Linked DNA regions of Coturnix japonica. The protein of the gene in region 4 interacts with the protein of the main gene of each other region in a biochemical or structural test. Links are inferred from orthologs where the notes say so. Each region holds a gene or a part of one and is shown on either strand. Other genes may lie near its edges. The genes, in order: CFTR, CASKIN1, SDC2, CASK, CNTNAP2 and plasma membrane calcium-transporting ATPase 4.

Evidence for each region.
Region 1: the proteins of CASK (region 4) and CFTR interact in a test that uses a peptide from one of them, tested with the Homo sapiens proteins (2 studies listed by IntAct, with this or other methods). The link is inferred for Coturnix japonica from reciprocal best matches to the Homo sapiens genes CASK and CFTR.
Region 2: the proteins of CASK (region 4) and CASKIN1 interact in a biophysical measurement, tested with the Homo sapiens proteins (2 studies listed by IntAct, with this or other methods). The link is inferred for Coturnix japonica from reciprocal best matches to the Homo sapiens genes CASK and CASKIN1.
Region 3: the proteins of CASK (region 4) and SDC2 form a complex in vitro, tested with the Homo sapiens proteins (2 studies listed by BioGRID and IntAct, with this or other methods). The link is inferred for Coturnix japonica from reciprocal best matches to the Homo sapiens genes CASK and SDC2.
Region 5: the proteins of CASK (region 4) and CNTNAP2 form a complex in vitro, tested with the Homo sapiens proteins (2 studies listed by BioGRID and IntAct, with this or other methods). The link is inferred for Coturnix japonica from reciprocal best matches to the Homo sapiens genes CASK and CNTNAP2.
Region 6: the proteins of CASK (region 4) and plasma membrane calcium-transporting ATPase 4 form a complex in vitro, tested with the Homo sapiens proteins (2 studies listed by BioGRID and IntAct, with this or other methods). The link is inferred for Coturnix japonica from reciprocal best matches to the Homo sapiens genes CASK and ATP2B4.

Annotation. Positions count from the first base shown.
Region 1 is NC_029516.1:22,096,302-22,099,801, forward strand, and holds part of CFTR (cystic fibrosis transmembrane conductance regulator), read right to left. Parts: intron 3,404-3,500; coding exon 3,221-3,403; intron 417-3,220; coding exon 225-416; intron 1-224. UniProt on the Homo sapiens protein: Epithelial ion channel that plays an important role in the regulation of epithelial ion and water transport and fluid homeostasis. Mediates the transport of chloride ions across the cell membrane.
Region 2 is NC_029529.1:6,408,843-6,412,786, reverse strand, and holds the start of CASKIN1 (caskin-1), read left to right. Parts: upstream 1-1,144; 5' UTR 1,145-1,159; coding exon 1,160-1,259; intron 1,260-3,258; coding exon 3,259-3,310; intron 3,311-3,944.
Region 3 is NC_029517.1:114,934,648-114,938,665, reverse strand, and holds the start of SDC2 (syndecan-2), read right to left. Parts: upstream 2,801-4,018; 5' UTR 2,537-2,800; coding exon 2,477-2,536; intron 1-2,476. UniProt on the Homo sapiens protein: Cell surface proteoglycan which regulates dendritic arbor morphogenesis.
Region 4 is NC_029516.1:100,923,251-100,926,750, reverse strand, and holds part of CASK (peripheral plasma membrane protein CASK), read right to left. Parts: intron 294-3,500; coding exon 213-293; intron 122-212; coding exon 41-121; intron 1-40. UniProt on the Homo sapiens protein: Multidomain scaffolding Mg(2+)-independent protein kinase that catalyzes the phosphotransfer from ATP to proteins such as NRXN1, and plays a role in synaptic transmembrane protein anchoring and ion channel trafficking.
Region 5 is NC_029517.1:75,239,215-75,242,714, reverse strand, and holds part of CNTNAP2 (contactin-associated protein-like 2), read right to left. Parts: intron 3,064-3,500; coding exon 2,930-3,063; intron 1-2,929. UniProt on the Homo sapiens protein: Required for gap junction formation. Required, with CNTNAP1, for radial and longitudinal organization of myelinated axons.
Region 6 is NC_029541.1:4,896,788-4,900,287, reverse strand, and holds part of plasma membrane calcium-transporting ATPase 4, read right to left. Parts: intron 3,320-3,500; coding exon 3,284-3,319; intron 1,812-3,283; coding exon 1,650-1,811; intron 1,542-1,649; coding exon 1,327-1,541; intron 1,240-1,326; coding exon 997-1,239; intron 873-996; coding exon 631-872; intron 302-630; coding exon 67-301; intron 1-66. UniProt on the Homo sapiens protein: Calcium/calmodulin-regulated and magnesium-dependent enzyme that catalyzes the hydrolysis of ATP coupled with the transport of calcium out of the cell. By regulating sperm cell calcium homeostasis, may play a role in sperm motility.

The DNA.
Region 1 (3,500 bases), about 79 Mb from region 4:
CAGGAACCTTATAGTACCTGAGCCAGCTGATTTAGCTCCTGTTATGTAAACTCCCAGAACCAGCATGATCAGTACATGTCTGAAGGAGCTGCCAATAGGCTGACTTATAATTCTACAAAATCTGAGTGCCAGGATGAGTTCTTGTTTATGTAAAACTGTACTCCCTGACTTTTATTTAGTATTATGTTTTTACAGTTAGGTCTTAATAGTTCTAGATGACTGACCTCTTCCAGTTGGCAGGCTTGGATGACACTCTTGTATCGGTATTCATCATAGGATACACCAAAAATGATGTTTTCTTTGATTGTTCCAGGCATGATCCAAGAGACTTGAGGAGAGAATGATATCCTTCCACTGTGTTTAATTTTACCCTGAGAAGGCTCCAGTTCTCCCATTATCAACATCAGAAGTGAAGTCTGAAAAATTGCGAATGGTTCGTATATCTGAGATCCGTACAACCACAAGAAATGCTAAACAAAGTAGGAATCACTTTAAAATAATAAGATGGTATTTTTGTTCTGTAAAATGCCCCTACATTCACTGATTTAGTGCAAGTCACAATTACTGAAGATCTCAATGATGTGTATGGTTCTGAAAGGCCTCCGAACAGAGAGAAACTAATTCACCGAACAAGAAAAACTGTATGGTGGCCTGTAAACAAGGCATGTGGCTGCAAAAGCATGCACTTTTAAGTAAACTGATAGCAAGGTAAAAAATGTGAATCTCTATAGGAGACATATGGATGTCGGGTATTTGAACTTATGGTGAATGTTATTTGATTTTTAACATCACTGCCTATTTTGCTTGTTCTTTGTACAACACAGTTCATGTTTACAACCTTGCTGATGTTTATAGCCCTTTTTCTGTGTTGCCTTGAAAAGTGTGATATCTCTGTGGATGTAATTGCTCACCAACTGCTCAGTGTGATCTGAAGTCTTGTCTGTAACTGTTAACTCATTTACGTGAGTACATGACCTATGCATATTTGCTGTTTCCCTTCATAAAAGAATTGATTGCAATTTCAGCACTAACATGTTATAATTTCAAAGTTAATCAGTAGCTTGTAGTAACCTTGTCACACATCACTAGCTACTTGATCAAAGAACAGAGTTGAGAAATACAAGGAAAAATATGTTTCAGAGGCATTCCAGTGGTGTTCTTATCACAAATAAACAGTCAACAAAGCTGGGACATAACAGCCAAAGATCTAAAAATCTATCTAAGACACAATTTTTTGTTCTCAAGCAAAAAGATCCTTTGAGAAGTTATACAGTATGCAGTGGGAGTATCATGAAACATCTTCCCATCGTACCAGATCTTCAATTTTCCTAAAAGCTGAGTAAGAAGTTTCTGAACTTGCAAAGGATAATCTCTTAGGATGTTCTGTACACTGCATGTTGAGCTACAATATCTTATGTCATAGTCTTTAAAGTGAGCTGACATCAGGCTTCATAGCACAGATAGAAGAAATAAGCACACACTCTGTTCCATAGGCCTGACAATCCCTGGAATTTGCAATACCAACAAGAAGAAAGAAACCCTACACTGAGAGGATGGAAGGAAAGGAGAGGCTTCTTTTGTTGGAGCGACAAGTGTAAATCTTATGTTACATTTGCCTTTCAGATAAAATTTGATCTTTTCATCTGTATTGCCTGGAAAAATGCAGATTTCTTGTAGATATATAATTGCTTACAGCACAGCGTGATTTGAATTTTCCTAAGCAGCTTAATAAATGGAATATATCAACAATGTCCTAAACTAACTGACATTTTGTATTACAAGTATGAGCTTCAGCAACAGCCATCTTAGATTAATAATTCAGCAATATAATAAAATTCTTCTGTTCATTCAGAATTATCACAGTAAAAATGCATACCAGCATTTTAAAATGCATACCAGGACAACCTCATGTATTTTGTGTTGGTATCATTTCTGAAAAATAATATTGAAGCCTTGACCCTTTTGAAATTGATAGGTCCTCTGCCACTGACTTCAACAAACCAAACACTTCACACAGAATCACAGAATGGCTGAGACTGGACAAGACCTCTGGAAGCCATCTGGCCCAACACCTGATTGCTCGATTAAGAACACCTAGAGCTGCTCAGTACAATGTCCAGATAGCTTGTGAAAATCTCCAGAGGGGAATCCTCCTCATCCAAAGGAGTCCTGATCAGTGAAAGTAAATGAAGTCAGAATACTTTCAACAATAATTTGTTAAATGGGAAAAGTTGACAAATCCATAATTAACTTTTTCTTTTATTTCACGCCTTCTCAGAAGGCTCCCTGAAGATCAAATACTTAATCTAATTCTTTATCTAATCCTTACAGCTTCCAGTGAATATAAGTATTACAGTTCAGTGTATTTTATAAGGTACACAGTTTAGTGAGAACTACTGGTGATAGGTGGAGGGCTGGACTGGATGATCTTGCAGGTCTTTTCCAACCTTGGTGATTCTATGATTCTATGATAGTACCAAGGTCAATTGGATATGCTATCTGCAAACAAAATGCATTTATAACATTTTCCAGATCTAAGATGATGATTTATCTAAACCACAACTTCTCAGTACTCCACCTGTTTGAACAGCACCTCCCCAAACTTGTCCTCCAGGGTTTCACCTGGAACTGAGAGCATGAGCTCAAGCTCGGTACTGAGTGATCTGGAATCTATACAATGAGGTATGTCACATATACAGAGTATGTATCATAGTTACTTGGCTAATTAGTGCCATGTTTGTCAGATTATTGACCACTTTGTTTTCAAATTTTTCCTTAAAATTTTAGCAAAGCAGGACAAAGCCCTGCTTTCAGGCACCCTGAGCGATCTGGGTGTTCAGGTAACGTTCTCCAGTGCACTATTAAAACAGGCAGGGAGATGTTCATCATGATCACCAGCTTAAGGTTACAGTCTGCATTACTCCTGCAAACCTCCTTCTAGTTCCTAAGGAAAAATAGATTTGTAATTTCAATTGGTATTTCTCTACTAAGCCTATATCCTTGTATGTACAAAAACTATCCAGCAGACTCCTCTTCACATTAACCACAGAGTAAAATTTAAAATAAGTATGGATCATTTTACTGAAATATATTTTATTCATACATTCTTCCTGCTGCTGCTACTTTTAGAGAGGGCACAGATTACCACAAGTCCACTAACAATACCAACAACACGAAAATAATCCTTAAAATTCTGTTGGAGCAACAGAAAGAGAAATACCTTGCCTGATCCAGTAGATCCAGAAACAGCTAATAACTCTCCTTTCTCGATCTTAAAATTTATATCCTGAAGAACAGGAGAAGCATGAAGGGGAAAATTGCTGAAGAAGAGATTGTTGTCATTGCTAGGAGCTTTGCTGTTGTTGTTTTCTTGTTTTGCTTTTACAAAGAGCTCTCCAATTCCCTGCAACATACATATTGGTGTGTTTGTACGTACACAAAAAATGAACACAACATACATATGCAGACATGTATATCATACTATATATGAATATATATGA
Region 2 (3,944 bases), on a different chromosome or scaffold from region 4:
CCATCATCCGTTCAATCCATCCCTGTGCCAGAGGGCACCTGGCTGCCAGCAGCACCTGGGGGTACACTGTGGGAGTCACAGGACCACCCACAACTGCTCCTACCAGGGACACAGGCAGATGCTCCAATTTCCAGCAGCCCATCTGAGGATGGTATCCCAGCAGTGTGAACTGTCTCCCAGCTGTTTGAAGCTGAGGAGCCATGCTGGGGTCTGTACTTGCTGCAGCCCTGCCGGGGTGAGGCGGGTGCTCCGCTGCTGCCAGAGCTTTAACGAAAGTCAAACCGCTGCGCGGCTGGAAGTCACTGACTAAGCACTTGGCACGAGCATTTATTGAAGTGCTAAACAGATTTTGGCAGTGGCAGCCTCTTCTGCAGGTGCAGAGAGGAGAGTTTCTCTGCTCTGGTTTATTCAGCATTCAGCCAGCACAGGTTTGGCCGAAGCTGGGGGTGCAGCTTGGGCACCATGTGGCACTGCCCTGTGTGGGGACAGGGCTGTCACTGTGTAGGTGCCTGCATGCAGACACAGCAGCCCCTGGCTGGGTGAGGGACAGCAGTGATAGCAGCCGGCCCTCACACCACCAGCACTGCTGCTCCCTGCCTACAGCTGGAGGCTGAGTTGCTGCATCCTCGGGGAGCTGCATCCCTGATTTGGTTTTAAAGAAGGCACTTTGGGTCTTAATAGGAGATAATTAGAAGCTGCTGGCTGGGAAATGAGCTTGTGCTGATCCCAGCTGGGATTGCAAAAGCGGGTGCGCAGGGATCGGCGTCACCTTGGCATCACTGCCTCACCCTGCAATGTCAAAACTCTGGGGAAGCCCCTCTCTGGGAGCAGCCTGTGGGAGAGGGCAGGCCCTGTTGCCGCTCGTCCGTCTGTCCATCTGTCTGTCCCGTGAGCGGGGCCCATCTTGGGGCCAGGGCTGGAGACTGGACCCAGTGTTGAGTGCCAACCCACTGCCTTTGTCCGCCGGCGATTTGCATCTCGCAGGATGGCTCGGCCCCTCTCCTGGGAGCAGCTCATTGGGGCAGCAGCGGGCAGCGGAAGCAGCCCTGGGCACCTCTCCACCAGCCCTGAATGGCACCTTTGTTGGGGAGCCTGGCAGCAGCCCTGGGCTGGCGGGCACCCACTCAGCCCTGGTACTGGAGACTCTGCGGCAACTGGGATGGGACACAGGGCTGCCACATCCCTGAGGTCTGGCTGCACCAGTGAGGATTTGTTGCTGGAGGGTTTTGTTACTGTGTTAAGGAACGCGGGCTACCAGGGTAAGGGGGCTGCCCTGCCATGGGGGGCATATTCTAAAGGTGTGGTTTTGGGAAGAGGGCAAGTGGTGTGGCCAGGGTGTGCTGGGGGCCTCTGGCCCTCACATGGGGACCCTTTGGTGCCGCTGCCCCCCCTGCAGCTGCCTGATCACCCTGTGTACCAGGAGGAGATGCTGTGAACCTGATGGATGGGAGCTGCTATTTGTTGCTATTCAGAAGTCATCCTCCTTATCTATCATCCATCGGCCCCGGGCTGCGCTGTTGTTAGCAAATGTATGGCTTGTTGGGCTGTCTGGCAGCTGATGGAGCGCAGGAGGGAGCGGGGGCACACAGAGCTTGGCAGCATCCGCGTGGGCAGAGAGAAACTTCTCCCAGTGCCTGGTACCGTCCCTCTGTAGGGAAGGGTCAGGTAGCTGGGATGAAGCTGTGAGGCCCATGGGTCAGTGCCATGCACAGCGCTGGCTATGGGCAGGGATGGCAGAGCCTGGTCCCCATCCCCAGGTGCCTCATCTGCATGCGCCTGGACCTGTCTGCGCCACAGGGACTGGGATTTAAAATTCAATCAGGGCTCTACGTGCCAGGAGAGGCTCTGGTTGCTCAGCACTGGCTTTACCTGTGTTGCGGTGAGTCCTGTGCTGCAGTGATTGAATGGGGCAGAGGCTGAGGGCACGATGCTGCTCCAGGTAAGGGGGTAAAGCCCCCCCCCCACCCCAGTTCTGCACTCCTTAAAATGTGCTGGTGGATGCCAAGAGACCCAGTGACAGCAGGGTGCCTTTGGGGGGCTGGGACCCCACTCTGAGCCATTGGCATGTGTGGACCTTGTGGTAGTGGGCTGGCAGCAGCTGCCTGCTGCTCGCACCTGGCAAGCATCCTGCTGTGCCCAATGTGCTGACACAGCCTTTTTGTGTCATATAATTGAATATTGTGTTCAGGTGCTGATAAGTATTGCAGCCTGCAGCATGAGTGAGGACTCAGCAGCTCATCCGTGGTGTTCTCTCTTTCCCCACCTGAAATCGCTCCTTGCAGGGCTGTGCCTGTGCTGCAGCACCTTGCCTGGCTGTGCTCCCAGGCAGAAGAGCAGCCGCTGATCTGCTCTTCCTCAACCCTCAGTGAATGATTTCCCCGAGGCATGGGGATGTGCTGCTGCCTGCTCGCTGCACTGCACACAGGGATGGCTGCAGCTGGGTGACGTGGGCACCCCGTGGTCTGGGGTCACCGCTTCCCCTCCCCTGCTTGCGCAGCCCTGGGCTGTGCTCCCCCACCCCAGAGAGCTGCAGCTCAGCCGGGCCTTCAGCCTTTCTCCTCCTCCTAGAGGCCCCAGGAATGGTTCCACAGCTGAGCTCAGAGGTGATGCACATCCCCATGGCTCTGTTGTGTTCCTGCTCTGTTACGAGGAAGAGCACTTTCACTGAAAAGCCTGACTGGCGTTTGTGGATAAATCTCATGTAAATCTCACTCCATCCCTCCTTGCTGCTTTAATTGGATTGCTGCAAGAGTCTCCGTTTCCCTGTGCCTTTGGTTGGAGACAGGTGGGGTCTGCACAGGGGCAGGGCAGAGGAAGGTGGGCAGCACTATGGGGTTTGGGGCATGGCAGAGTCCTGTGGGTAAGGGAATGGGAGGGAAATCCTATATCAGCTGTGGGGCTGCCAGCAGGTGGTGGTGGGTAGTGCAGCATCACGTCTCCAGCAGGGGGACGCCCATGTTGCCATTTGCTTTGGGCATTTTGATGCTTTCAGGAGCAGCTTTTTCCTGTCCCTGAAATGCTGTGCATGGCCACCCTTCTGTCCAGACCTCAATCCTCCTGCTTGCAACAGCCCACAAGCTTGGGGCAGCCCCACACAGCCCTGTGTTGCATCTGGCCATGGGCTTTAGCCAGCAAAACCTACAGGAGAAATTGCAAAACCCAGCAGCAGCTGTGTCACCCTCCCCAGCACACACAGTGCCCAGCTGTGCCGCCTCTGCCTCCTCATTAACTGAGCTGTCTGCTCTTCCTCTCTCCCAGAGCTCCTCGGATCAGCAAAGAGAGTCAACGTCAACTTCCAGGACACTGATGGGTGAGCGCAACCCTGCTCTGGGTGTGCATGCTATTGAGTGTGAATGCTACGGGCTTTGCATGCTGTGGGGTGCAGTGAATGGGAGATCTCATGCAGGTGTTCTGGGCTTGTTGGTGCAATGCAGATGAGCGTGACCGCACATGTGCAGGTGGCTTTATGTGTACCAGCCATGCATAGCAGTGGAGATGAGGGCTGAAGGACACTGGTGTGCTGTGCTGTTGCTCTGCCAGCCCCCACCCCTCATGCTCTGAGTGGCAGTGGTGTTTTGGGAGCACCCATTCCTGCTTCCCGCTGGTGCATCAGCTCTGCTAGCCTGCACGTGGGCACGTGTCTGTGTGCATGGGTGCACACCAGCGTGCAGATGTGTATCTGAGAATGCGTGTGCATGCAAGCGTGGCTGTGTGTGTGAGCAATTTGTGGGTATGCTGGGCAGCACCAGGGCAGGCGCTTGGCTGCATGGGCAGGGTGGGGGTTGTGTCACCTCATGGCCCCCCTGTATGCAAGTCCTGCGGGGGAATGGGGTGGTGTAGGGAGAACATGCACTCTGCCTGTGGCTCCTGATGGGCTCAAGGTGTGCAGGAGCAGCCCAGCAGAGGTTCAGCTGTCCCAGTGCTGTGCCTCAGTTTCCCCATCT
Region 3 (4,018 bases), on a different chromosome or scaffold from region 4:
AAAACAAACATTCACCCTCTCCAACATGGGATCCATTTTCCAGATTCCAAAAGCAAAGTAATGATTAGAAACAAATGCAGAAAAAATTACAGCACCGTGCTTCCAAAATATTAAATATTTCTCAAAAATACACAAATTATTACCCAAGTAATCCTTCAATAATAGCGTATATGTCAACAATCCAGTGCTTAGATGCTTACAAAAGGAACAGACAGACCACATAGTTGATGTTGGTGCTGCAGTGCTCTATTTTAAAGAACACTACGCACACAGTGCTGGGGAGTTGGCATGAAGCAGAGTCCTTTGACTCAAGATACACCACTACACAGGAGGAGAGCCACGACTGTTCTCCCATTTGTGAGAGCAGCAGGATTACAGTGCAGCACACACAGAAACCTGTTTGCCAGCAAGTCTTCCCTGCACCCACCTTGGCTTGCGGAGAGGATCAGAGCATCACACAAGCCCTGGAAAGCCATTAGTCCTACTGATGAGGAGCAGAAAGAAGCAGAAAGGTTTATCAGCCTCGGCAGAATGGGAACTGACAAGGACAGTGAGATACTTGGCACTGCTCTCTGTTGCTATTAAAATCAGCAAGCGTTGACTCCTGCTATCATCAAGACTGAACCCAACCTCATAAAAGACACACCTGACTCACACTTAGAGAGCTGGCCTTTTCTTTTTCCAGCACTTTCACATCACTCTCTTTCCCTCTCCTAAAAGGGAACCAGAAAGAACACCTTTTCCACAATTCACCCAAGCCTGGGTGAGTCTCAAAGTGCCTTCACATCTGCTGATGTTACCAGACCCCACTGATATCCAGCATCTCCCCCTGCACAGCGAAGTACCCTGTGAGCCCAGTGCCATCTGCCAGCTCTGATGTGGGCACTTGCCACCTCCTGCAGCCAGGCACAACAGGGTACAGCTGCCCGGCACCCTCTGCATCCTGATGCCAAGCTGACACCGCACACCACAGTACATCTGCAGCACAAGAGCCAACACCAGGGCACACAGACACGCAGCTCCCTACTACATTCCCAGTATGTTTTTAACGTGATTAACACCAACGGGGTCCACCCCAGTAAATAGCGGGGCTTGGTAGTTACACGAAGCAAACACAGGACATACTTCTTCAAGAATCAAACAAAGGAAAAGAACTTAGGAGCTAAAACCATTTGTCAGTACTCCAAAAGCTTGCAGGGTTGTTGTAAGCATCCAGATAAAATCCAACTTAGGACCAGGACAGCGTTCTGCACAGACAAGATTTAGCATCCGTCTTTTCCCAGACACCAGTCTACAAAACTCCTCCTTAAAGGACCTCGTAGCTGCCGCCAAAGAGGAAAAAAGGAGGGGGGAGAAAAATCCACCTCCCTTCACCTCTCCCATCTGCCCACAACTTTCTGGCAGCAGTCAGGGCGCTGCTCAGGGCCGGCAGCACGGCTCCCCCCGTTCCAGCCGCAGGAGCCTGCTCATCCCAAGGCAAAACCATCCAACTTAATACTTAACTAATGACTGTGGCAGTTGCAGTTACTCCGCCATCAGAGAACTTCGTAACAGTAGCGTTCCTATGAAACTAAAACATACAGCAAGGGGGAGCGCGCATAGCGGGAACGGGAGTCCGGGCTCGACACAACTCGGTCTTAATTAGCCCTCAAGAAAAGCGTTTTGCAATTGTATCCTTCGGAATCACTAATGATGAGGCGGACCGCACGAAAGCTGCGACGGGGCTTATTTATACAATAGCCAGGCAACTTCAAAAGCGAACCCGAGCCGGTGACATTATTTAGTTCAGTGGAGCAGCTCATTTTAATTGGATTAAATTGTCACGGTATTTTAATTTCGGACTGAAACCTCCATTTATTATTTCCTAATATTTGTCCCAACGCTGTAACCGCGTTCTTTTCTCGGCTCCCTCCTCCTCCTCCATCCCCCTCCGCCCCGGCACCGTCCCGAAGCGCCGCCGGCGAAGCCCGAATCCTCTCCCGATCCGCCCGCAGCGCGGGGCGGGAGCGCTGCGCAGAGGAGCGGCTTTTCGGGAGGTACAAATCCCGACAACGGAGTTAATTGCATTAAGCAGAGTTCCCCGCTCAGAGGAGACACTTGTGGCTGCGAGAAGCGTAAACAGCGGCATTATCCGCAGCCAGCCCGGGCGGGGAGGGCAGCCGGGATGGGCGCGCACCCCGCGGGGAAGCGAGGGTCATGGGGCGCGTACCGAGCCGCATAGCCACGGCCAATTAACTCATTAGGTGCCCTCCGTAGCAGCCTGTCGAGCCGCGGGGAACAGGGGGAAGGCGCCGCCGGGGGGACGCGGACCCGCACCTCCTCGGGTCGGGGCGTCGCGGTGAAGTCGGGTCTGGAGGGGCGCTCCCACTGCTCCTATCGAGGACATTCCTCGGGGGCAGCGCTGCGGACGGAGCCCAGGTGGCCGCCCCCGTCCCGTCCTTGTCCCGTCCCCCCGCCCTGCCGCTCGCTCACTCACCGGCTGCCCGGAGGCGCAGGCCACGAAGCTGAGGGTGAGCGCGAGCCACACGCACCGCATTCTTCCCGAGGAGCCGGCGCGGCGGCCGCCTGTGGCCGGGCACAAAGGAGAAAGCGGGGCCGCTGCGCTCGGCAGCGCCCGGGGGCGCGGGGCAGGGCCGCGGGCGCCCTCCGGCCCGTTCCGCTCCGCTGCTGTCGGCGTTCAGCTCCGCGCTGCCCGGCGGCACAACGCTGCCCGGCGGCACAACGCTGCCCGGCTGCTGCTGCTGCTGCTGCTGCTGCTGCTGCTGCTGCTGCTGCTACCTTCTCCTCCTCCTCCTCCTCCTTCTTCTTCTTCTTCTTCGCCGCCCGCTCCTCTCCTTCCTTCCTTCCCTCCCGCCCTCCGCCCCGTGTGCGCGGCAGCGGCAGCGCGGCTCCCAGTTAAACCCCGCAGAAATTCCTGCAGGATTACAACACAGATTGGCAGCTCCCCCAGCCAGTGGAAGGAGGCGGCGCGTCTCCGCCGCCGGCTCTCGCCCCTCGCAAATTCAAGCAACTTTCCACCTTCCCCTCCACCAAAAAAAATAACCACCGCCCCCTCTCTATCCTCTACTCTGCCGTCCTCCCCCCCAGTGGAAAACATGAGAGGGCTGGACCCGGATAGAAGCAGGGACCTGGAAAGTCTCCCTCTGCTGTTTTTTGTTTGTTTGTTTGCTTGCTTGCTTTTTTATCATATAGTTATTTATTTATTTCAAGGGAATTCTTCCCTCTGCTCTGTGTCCTCAACCGCCGGACCGAGCCGCGCTGCCTCTCACATCCTCCCCCAGTTACCTAGAAGGCAGCAATCAGGTGCTGGGAAACAAAAAGGATGAGGCTCATGGGTGCCAAAATGGCAGCTCATTTTGGTTTGCTTTTTTTCCCAGACTTTTCTCAGAAGACCTGAAACTTTTAGGAAATAAGAGAGTGGCTGTGATTTGTGTCTCATACATGGAGCCAGGAAGAATGTCTTCAAAACAAATATTGACAGCACCAAGGATGCGCACTCCAGAAGCGAAGCCAAGAGGTCTTGCTGGGACTGGCCCATGGTGTTTATCATGCAGGGAAAGTGGTAGTATTGCAGAGCTTAGGAGCATCGTTCTGACTCGGGTACCTGTGCCAGTGCGTTTCCACTGCCAAGCGTATCCATGTGTTACATCAGTCACTGGACACAGGAAGGTGAAATATTGCTCTTGATTACAACCAACTGCATTTGATTCAATTCTGAGCTTCAGGCTGTGTTTATAGCCAAACTAAGGTAGTCACAAGGACCATAATGATCACTCTTAGACAAGCCTGTCCCACTCAGAGGACCCCATGGAAGCAAGAAGCATGAGGATCCCAGTGCAGGTGCTTCTCCATGCCCATCGCCTTACCTGCATTGGCCTTTGAGTGGTGCTGAGATCCCATCTGCCTCCAGTCCCTGCTATGGAAACAGAAAAACAAAACCAAAGGTGGTTAATTAAGCACACGCAGTCTGTCGTCTTCCCAGCCTCTCCCAGACAAAGGCACCCCACACATGCCGGTG
Region 4 (3,500 bases):
CTACATACAATTTTGCACTACATAGAACATTGCTACTTACGAGGAATGGGGTACGCAAATCTGTCCGGATGTTTTGTGATGAGTGTGTTTTTTATGTGTCGTCTTCCAACGCCATGTGCACCTAACCCACAACACAAAAATCATCCATTAGTTTTCTGCCACAAGATGTTAATAATTATGCTCTTACGTTTGAAATAACAACTCAAAATTACCTAGTAAGACTAGCGTTTTCCTTTTGAATGCTGGCAGTTTTACTACTTCTTCATATGTGACGAGATCTAATTGATCAAACACTAAAACACAAAAGAAACCCCCAGAGGGATAAGAAAAAACATCATTATTAAGGATGATAATAAACTGTGCTACAAATTGTCATTTTAGCAAGTGTTAGATTCACAATACAAAGCAATATGCTATGGAAAGTAAAACCATTTCCTTAAGTAATTTTAAGAAAAGTGTCCATTAAGAAAACTGTTAAAAAGCAATAACACAGCTACTGAAATGCTCAGGAAAACTTGCATGTCCTTTCATGCAGAATTCAGCAGACCACAAAAATCAGCTAAAAAGGCATGCTATTTACATTTGCATTCCTAAGAAGTAGCAATACTAAAGAAAATCTGTAGACAGTGACCAACATGAATATAGTATGAGAACATCTATTTACACTGAAGATATGGATACTTTCACGTTCATGTTTAACGAGATCTTTGAGTAATCATGATTTTTAAGGTTTAATTCTTTGTGGTATTTCTTCTTCAAAACACGTTATTTGTAATTAGAGTTCTCTTTGAACACACGTGCTCGTTAAATTGACATGCTTTTAAAACTTTTGATAGAACAAAAAAGTTTAACAGAAAGTGATGACGTTACATAAAAGAACCTCCACCATATTTAGGGAAAAATTGTAAAAGTATTGTTTCAGAAATGATTTCAACTGCAGTGAATGAATTTCATCATGCCTATCAATCTACTGTGAATTGCCAAGATAAGTAATGATTGACAAATCAAGTTTTGTTCATAAAAACAACTTCTTACTTTGCCCAACAAGATCTGTGGCCATTTTTATAGAATTTTGATTAAAAGAAAAAAATAAAAAGCCAGGAGGCAGTTGATTATATTTTTAAAGATCAGAACAATCAGAAGTTAGGAACATAATAACTTGCAAGAGTTTACAGTTCTGTATTTGAATGCGCTGTAAACAGAAGGGAGAGACTGCATCTTAAGTATGACATTTTTGAGTGTTTCCAAGTCCCAAAGTGGCGTATTCACTTCAACTACATCCTGTCCATCTCTCTCTCTCTTTTATTTTTTTTAAATTTAATTTTTTAAAGAAAAAATTTGGATGTATTTCTCTCCTCCTCATGGTTAGGTACCCCTATAGTTAGGTAGGCAGGGGTAGGAGCCTGTGTTTGCTTGCTCCAGTTGTCACCAACCTCCACAGTCTGAAGACATTCTGACTGCAGAGCCTATCAGAAAGCACATGCTTTGTACTACAGTCAAAGCAACAAAGGGTTTAACATTTCCTTTTATAGGGCAGATGTTAAACCCAATGGCACCATTTCCACCCTAGAAAAAAGTGCAATTACTTTAATTTAGTCCAAATACAAATTAGTCAATTGACACACTTGACTCTTTAAGGACTTGAAAAGGTATGCATTTGAAAACTTCCTAAGTTCCTTTGAAGCATTTTGCACTTCATGATGAAGAAAAACCTCTTTCAACCTTTCCCCAAATATTACAAGATAAAACAAGCAAGAAGTTAGTCATATTTTTTCTTCCTTTCCACAAATTACCAGCATGGAATTCTTCATTTTTGCAACTTTGCACTAAATTAACTAAATTCATTTCATATCAGAAAGATATAAAGATCTACAACATGTTGAAGAGTTTTACCATTCTAACCATTCTAGCTTTACCATTCTAACTATCTACTGGGAAAGGTGTCTTCTCCCGTTAAAAAAAGTCAATCCTTTATTTTTTCTTGAACAAAACCATGTTATGTTAGATACAAACAACAGGAGCAAACAACAGAAATGGCACATATTAATGCCTCCATCACAAATTAGTAGCATGAAGAAGATATGTCTCAGTCTACATGGAGTTACCTAATGATTGTAGGGTTTTCAAGCACAAAAGAAAAATGAATATTTAAAAAATATACACAAGATATGAGGAATACGGGATACATATAAAGACTGAACTTGTAATACTCCTGTGTTACTAGCTAGTAAAGAAAAGGAGTTTTGAAAGGAAACAGTAAGAAGCAAATAAAGAGGCATTGTCACTTGACAGGTTACTTACATGCACAGAGGCCATTGGGAGTAAGACAGCATGAAAAATGTACAGGGGTCATTGAGATATGGCTTGTAATATATTAGTAAAATAAAAAGTATATGCACAAAATAAACTTTACCATGCAGTAGTCTAAACACGAGGCAAATAAATCACATTAAGAAATGATAAACATATTTTATAAAAGCTTGGCAATTTTTACATTATGCATAATATGACACATAGTTCTAGTATGTTCTGAAGAGCGTTCTTTTATGAAGTCCTGCAACAACACTTTTAAAAATGTAAATATCACTGCAGTATATCTCTAGAGATAATCTCTGGAGCATTTATAGAAATGCTAATGAATCTTAAATGATTTTTGTTTTTCCTGTAGGTTTTGGTTCCAAACAGATTTTACAATGATAAGAAGTATGATCTAGAAGATGTATCTTGAAGGACACGCTATTCTATTATCAAGTATGGAGGAAAGTAAAATTAGATGAGTTATTTTTCTTATAAAGGAGAATATACTTGCTGAAGACATGTTTTTAATTATGAAACACACACACTGAAAATCTGCAAAAAGTAATGTTGCAGTATTTCTGACTAACAATACCACGTGATATTTCAGAGATGGTAAATTCAGTACTGAGTTCATTAAATGTAATACATTCACATAAGCATGACATCAATTCAGTGATCCTCTTAATATCTACGTACTTCTTAATTCTCTGGAATGTTATTGGCATCAACTTTTGTACCTCAAGGATACAATGACCAATAACGTTGCTAAGTGAAATATAAATCCCAATTTGTACTTTGATTAACTTTTTGACTTCCTAGGGGAAGGGCAAGTGTCATACTGTTACTTTGAAATGAATGTGTTTTAATGATTATGACCACTTCAAAGGTTCACGTTTCTAATTTTTGGCAAACTCTGACGAGAAGTTTCCAAAAGCACTACCATAGGCAAGCTCTAAGGCCATCAAATCATGCAATCAAACGTCTGTCAACCTCCTCCAAAATGACTCCCTCTTGTCAAGATTGTGATGTCTATATTACTGTCCATTGATGAGGGTTTAATTGATACAAAGTCTCCAGAAACAAAATTAGCTCAACGTATTCTCTGCTCCTCCCCGGACATACTCATTCCTTTGCAGCACGCCACGTGAAGTCACAGTGACATTATTTATCACATAGTTGTAGTTGTGAACTGTACTATGAAA
Region 5 (3,500 bases), on a different chromosome or scaffold from region 4:
TCTTGATACCTTGCATCCACCAGGCGCAAGAACTTTCTCTTGAGTTCCATATAAATTGTTTTGAGCTATAGTGCACCAAGAAAGAAAGTTGCATAACAAGCAATGGAAATTTGAAAATTGTGGAAGAACAGCTATCAGGTTGGCCACTGTGATGAAGATGAAGGAGAAATAACAAGGAGGAAGAAGGTGGTTGTATGACCACCTTAGATGCAACTGCATATGCACAGAGGGACATTAGCAAATATTAAGGAGTTCTTTATGAAAAATAAATATGTATCCCAATGTATTGCATATGTATGTCTTCACTGTTTAAATGCAGAACCTGAACTGTAAGAGCACCCATGCTCTTGATTTATTGAGTTGCTTGGTAAGTATTGTGAGGAATAAAGGAATGTCACATTCTAACATCACATTGGAGTTAGAGAGTTTTCTTCCCAGATTTCAGATGACAAACTCAAAGTCCAATTGGCCAGATAATAATTATCAGTTATCTTCTTGTTTCCAGCACTGGATGAAGTCTCATACTTCAAAATAACAAGTTTTTCACTATGAGAATTGTAAAAGCACTGGTTCATGTAGTTCATGTGATAGCAATTTATTGCCTCAGTGCAGATATTTTTTTTTTAATATCTCTGTCACTGTGAGATTATAGCACGTTAGAATGACAGATATTTTAAGCAAGAACTTCAGAAATACTGAGTGCTCTTGGTTTGAAGATTTGATGAGAAATAGATCATTCCTGTGATAATTTTATAAAATGTGTAAGTGTGAGTAATAGCACCTGGCAAGCAAGCTGCCTTCTTTGAAAGTAAGCAAACCAACTACTCTTCAGGTTTGAGAAGAATTTAGTGGGAAATAGAAGTCTACTTAAATGTTCACTGCTTACATCTGTAATAGAAAAGCCATACTTTATGATCTGTCCTCTGGTTGCTGAGAAAAATTATATTGCTATCATATATATTTTATATTTGAAAGTGGTACTCAACTCATTTTCAAGTGAACAATATACTTAACAGATTCATCTTTGTTCCTGTCTCATTTACGTGACCAGATAAGTAACAAAAATACCCTTTTATGGAAAACAAACAAAATTGGATGGAAAGCTTTTTCAGGATACAGTAAGGGTGCTATTTCTGGATTTATTTATTAATTTTTTAAAAAATATGGGTTTCCTACTTTCCCTATTCTTCTATGTGCATCTAGTTTAATAAGATTCAAATGAATCTTCTTCCCGATTCTATAAAACAGCTATGTTCCAGGCAGACTGATTGAGAGATGTTTACCTCAGCAGCGAAACTCTAAATAAAACATTTCTTGCTCCTGAAAGCCCTAGGTAACAATTGCCACATAATACACTGAGAAGAAAAATCATCAGAATTTAAATGTAGGTGAGATGATGTAAAACCGGTATACTTAACTGAGTTTGTAATTTCTCACTGTGAAGAATATTTAATCTGATTTCTTCATCAAATCATAAAATCACTAGGGTTGAAAAAGACCTCTAAGATCATCTTGTCCAACTGTCAGCCATCAATAATTTATTTAGTCTTGCAACCATCTAAATCAGCTGCATATGACTCCATAGTATACATGCCACATATTTCCCAAATTTAAGCCCTTAATAACAGAAGGCTCTTTATTGCTCTTTATCTTCCATCTAGCAGTAAGAGACAGAGGGGAAAAAAAAAAAGCTTCAGAATGTGAGAAAGATGCATATATCAAAGTACAGCCCTGGCCTCCCAAAATCTGAAAAGCTGTTATAAATGTCACCAATATGTTTTCAGTATATATGTCATTTTATAAATTTCCTAGTTTTCTGATAATTCAGCTCCAGTACACATAGTGTTAATTTTAGTTGGCAGCCTCACTCAAATGACATTGTTATCCACTGAAAAGTTTTCATTTTAGTGCCTTGAAAAAGTAACTTTCAGGGATCTATTTTAGTCTGTATGTAGATTATACTGTGATAGCTACACTTTTGGCTTGGTTCCCAAGGAGACTTCCTCTATTTATATTTCATCTGTTATTGGTTTTTTATTTCCTTCTTATGAACTATCAAATTCATATTAATCCATCCAATCTATCTGACTCTCCTGCCAACAAAACTGTTCTCATATACTGCTGCAGTCTCTGTATTTGTAGATTGGACAGCCAGGGAATGAAAACAGAGTTCTGTTAATGACTATACAGAAAAGGCTGTCTAGAAATACTGGTTCCTTCGTGCAGAGCTCTCCTCAGATATTTAAATACTATGATATTATCTTTAAGATTTGTGAGCTAAAATACAAAGAGGTAAAGTTCCCGTTGGTGCAGTACTGAAAACTGAGTAGGCTAGAAGTACATTAGTAATACTCACCTGTCTTAGACTCCTGTCAAATAAACACTGAAGAATCAGGTCATTTTTGCTTGTGTGAACAGCTCTTCTATTTCACTGTACAGCAGGGTAAATTTAAATTTTAAGACATTCTTATTTGCAGATGCAGGTCTTAAGGAATGATATTTACTTGCTTGTGTGTCAGTATCTACTGCCATTTAAGACGCTGTAGGTTATCCTCCTGTTTTTCAGCTAGTGTTTCATAATAATGCAGGTTTATCCTAAGCCTCAGGTTATTTCCCACTCAGATGTTTCTGATGTCCTTGAGCATCTACAGTGACATATGTATTATCCCAGCTGTCATCACACTAGATCAAGGATTTGGGCAAGTATGACTCAATGCAATTGAGAGAATAGCTTTTTCTTTTTCTTTTTCTTTTTTTTTTTTTTTAAAGTACTAGGAGTGGGATTTCCAAGCAGAATGCCATCTACTGTATTTTTATTTCCTAAATTGCACTGATATTGCCAGGGGAAAGGATACCATCAAATTACAAAATGTTACAAGCTACAAGCAATAAACTAGATGGAATAAAAACATGTTCATTGTCTGCTTACCTGGAGTATTATGTCCCGTTCATTCCGTGTGATGTTAACGGTATGGGGCTGTCCATTTGCCATGTTTCTGTGGTCAACATCAATGTTATATGGCTCCTTGGTACCTCCTAGGTTATACCGAATTTGCAGATTCCCTAATGAAATGAATGCGAAAAGTACCCTCAGGTGTGTTGATATTTATTCACAGCTATTTTCCCCTCTTTATTTCCTCATACAACTATTGCCACTTAACATTTAAGTTGCTCTCATAGATGCTACCTGCTCTTGGAGAATTTTAAAAAGGGTTAGTGTTTCAGATTATTCAATTATTGGGCAGAAAACAGCTTTCAGTTTACAACCCTGAAGCATGAAAGTAACCGGCATCTCAAAACCATTGTTTGTACATTCTTCCAAATTGCAAACTGAACAAATCAGAGCTATGCCTTAAACAATACAGATAATTACTTCAAATTTGAGCACATCAAGTAGCATATTATTGTTGATATTATTATCCCTTCTGTAGTAAACTTATTTGAAGTTATATAAAGTATGACGTTTTTTTTTTTTAAATAATAAAGTGATAAGCCTTGAA
Region 6 (3,500 bases), on a different chromosome or scaffold from region 4:
AGAGGCTCCTGGACCAGGAGCACAGCTGGGTGATGGGCTGTCAGAGCCACATGGGGGCCACAGTACCTCTGGCCGCACAGGGTCCTCTATCCCCACCACAGCAATGCACGTCAGGTCAGACAGGATCTCATTCTCACTGTCCCAGTCAGGCTCAGTGTCAGCAGGGAAGTCACGGAAGGCCAGGCAGATGGTCCGCAGCCCATGGCAAGCCATAGGCTCAATCACCTTCTTCACCATCTCATCTCGATCCTTCACTTTGAACATCCGGGGGTCACCATTCTTGTCCAGAATCTTGGTGCACCTACCACAGGACAGGACAGGAGAGTAAGGGAGACTGCTTGTGGCTGTTCAGCAGTCCCCTCCTTCCACCACCCAGTTTCCCCCATCTGTAAAATGAGTACCTCTCACCCAGTACCCCTATAGCCTTACTAGAGACACCCTAAAAAGAGCTAACACTTTGCACAGCAGCACTTCCTGATGCTCACACTTTCTTTCCCCCCTCCTCAAGCACTGGGTCCCCTTCACCCTGCAATCCCCCAGAACAGCTCAACACCGCTCTGAGAGCTCAAAGTCCATGGGGCAGGTGGGTTGGGGAGAGGACTCAGCGTGGAGGGGGGGGACGACAGTTACTTGCGGAGGATGATCTCAGAGGCTCCCTTGCTGTACATGCGGAAGCTGTTGTCACTGTTCTTGAGTACTGTGCTCATGGACTTGCGCACAGAGTTGAAGGTATAGACTTTGTACAGCTTCTCCTCTGGCACCTCATTCCGCACAGCCTGATAATCCTGCTTCAGGTCCAGCACAAAGCCCAGCAAGGCACACTCTGTCTTGTTCCCCACTTGCCGGGGTAGCCCCCCTTCCTTCTCTGGTGGCTGGAGGAAAAAGGGAAAGGAAAAGAAATGTCAAACCTGGGCACTGCAGAACACAGTGGGATGGAAGCAGTAGCGATGGCCAACAGTGGGAACGTAAGGCTGTGGTTCTCAAGAGCCAACTCACCAGGATCTTGGATGTGTAGGCAGAGTTGATGGCAACACCATTGACAATGAGGTCCAGGACCTTGGGCAAGATGGCTTCAGGGTCAGGAATCTGGCGATAGTGGGTGTCCCCCACGTAGGCCTGCACCACAGTCATTCGGTTCATTGTGAGCGTGCCGGTCTTGTCTGAGCAGATGGCAGTGGCATTACCCATGGTCTCACAAGCATCCAAGTGCCTCACAAGGTTGTTGTCCTTCATCATTTTCTGCAGCATGACCAGGAAGGTTAAAGCCAAAAGCCTGAACATTCCCATCACACTTCTCCACACCCACCATGCCCCTACTGGTCTCACCTTCACTGAGTAGGCCAGGGAGATGGTGACTGCCAGTGGGAGCCCTTCAGGCACAGCCACTACCAGCACGGTGACACCGATGATGAAGAACTTGACAAAGTACTGGATGTAGATGGGGGTGCATTCTGCCAGCCAGGGCCGACGCTGTACCCCAAAGGTGTCGATGACAAAGTACAGCACCAAGATGATCACCGTGATGGCTGACATAATCAACCCTGGGAGAGGATGCCAAGCAGCAAGTGAGGGGACACAGGGATGGCAAGCAGGGATCAGCCCCCTCCCACTGTCCCACCTCCAGTGAGACACCCGGGGTGATGGCTCACCTGCCTTCCCAATCTGGACTGCAAGGCGCGTCAGCTTCCCTTGGAGCACAGACTTCTCCTTCTTGGGCACCTTCACTTTCTTCTTCTCCTTCTCCTCATTTTCCACCCCTTCCTGGCTCTTCAAGGGTTGGATCTCTAAGGCCACACCATCCTGAGTTTTAGCTACAGCCCCAGGGCAAAATAAGACACCACGTGTGAGTAGGAGAGAGACCAGGGAGATCTGCAGGACACCACTGAGAAATACGGTGGTGGGAAAGAGAGAAAACCCAGAGCACAAACCATCCTCCATGACACACATATCCGAGCACATGGAAATCTCTTGTCCTGGGGCCCTGTTGCCTCTCTATGGGGCAGTCTTTACATCTACCCCATGCCCCAGCCCCATGCAGGAAGGGTCCTGGGGCTGACGCTGGCTATGGGTCACAGAAGTGCTGCCAGAGATCCCTAACCTGGCTGCCGGGCACAGGCAGGACATCTCCAACCTCTCCCCAGCTGCTTCACACCCTGCAGCACAAGAAAAGCATGCTGGGTTTGCCCCAAAGCAGCTCCAGTGCACCAGCAGACCCCACCCCAGCTACAACACAGTGGGTCAAGCTTGTAGAGGACTTCTCTCTGCTCTGTACCCCTCTTCTGCGGTTTAATGCCCTTTTTAAAGCCCTTCTGGAGGCTCAGCAGGAATCCATTACATATAAGAGCACTGGAGAGGTGAGATGGAGGAGAACAGTTAAGACATTCCAAAGGAGTTGAAAGAGGAGTGAACCAGCTCCTACAATCCCAGCCCCAAGCTGTCCATTATGTTCTTAGGACCCAAAAAGGCCAGGCTTCCGTAGCCCAGCTCCATGGCCTCCCCTCAGCTAAAAAATCCCAGCTGGGTTGGGCGGCATGGGGTGGGATGGTGGAGCAAAGGCTGAGATCTGCTGGGCTGGGGGAGCAGCAAAACCACCCCACAGCAGCCCCAGGACCCATCCCCTCCTGGCAGCCACTGCTCAATGGTCAGAGACAGCCCCAGGCTGCCCTGACACCTCCACAGTTACAACAACACGGACAAAACAAGCACCCAGACACATCTGGCAGGAAGGAGGGCAAAACTGCTGAGAGGAAAGAAAGAGAGAGGGGGGTGGAGAGAGAGGTGCAGAAATGGGCTTCCTCCACAGCCTGCAAAGAACAGGGTGAGAAACACCGGCGAGGAGACGCTCACGGAGTCGAGGCCATGGGAGGAGAGGGTGCAACCACCACACAGGCCGGGTCTCACAGGAGATTTATCCCAGGAGGATGTGACCTGTGCCTCTTGCCCCACCATGCCAAAATACACACCCTGCAGGAAAGCAGCACAAATGCTTCAGAGCCACTAGGTCATGTCAATAGGGACTTGCTTTGCACCAAGGGATGCTGTGCCAGCAGTCTGAACTGCCAGGAATAGGCTTGTCTTCCCTTCCCAAAGACTGCGCCCCAAGCAGAGGCCATGGGGCATTGATCCCATTGTGCCGGAGCTGTGGGACCATTGCACCCTCTCCCAGGAAAACGAGGCGAGAGTCCCGCCAGAGTAGCAAAGAGCACAGACTCATGAGAAGAAGGAAGGAGGAATGCTTTGTAGTTAGTGTGGTGCTGGTTCAAAGGATGGAGAGGCTGGTTACCTTTGTTGCGATTTTCAGGGGCTCCGGTTTTTTTACCTGTTCAAAGAGAGAAAGGGTGCAGGGCTGAGCACACAGACCAGACAGAGGGATAGGAAGGGTCAGCCCTCCTCCAAGGGGCTACACATACTGCTCCAGCAGCACCTCTGCTGTGGGCTCACTGTCATCAGGCACTGAATGCGGGACCCCAGACAGCTCACCTCACCTGCCAGAGGCAATC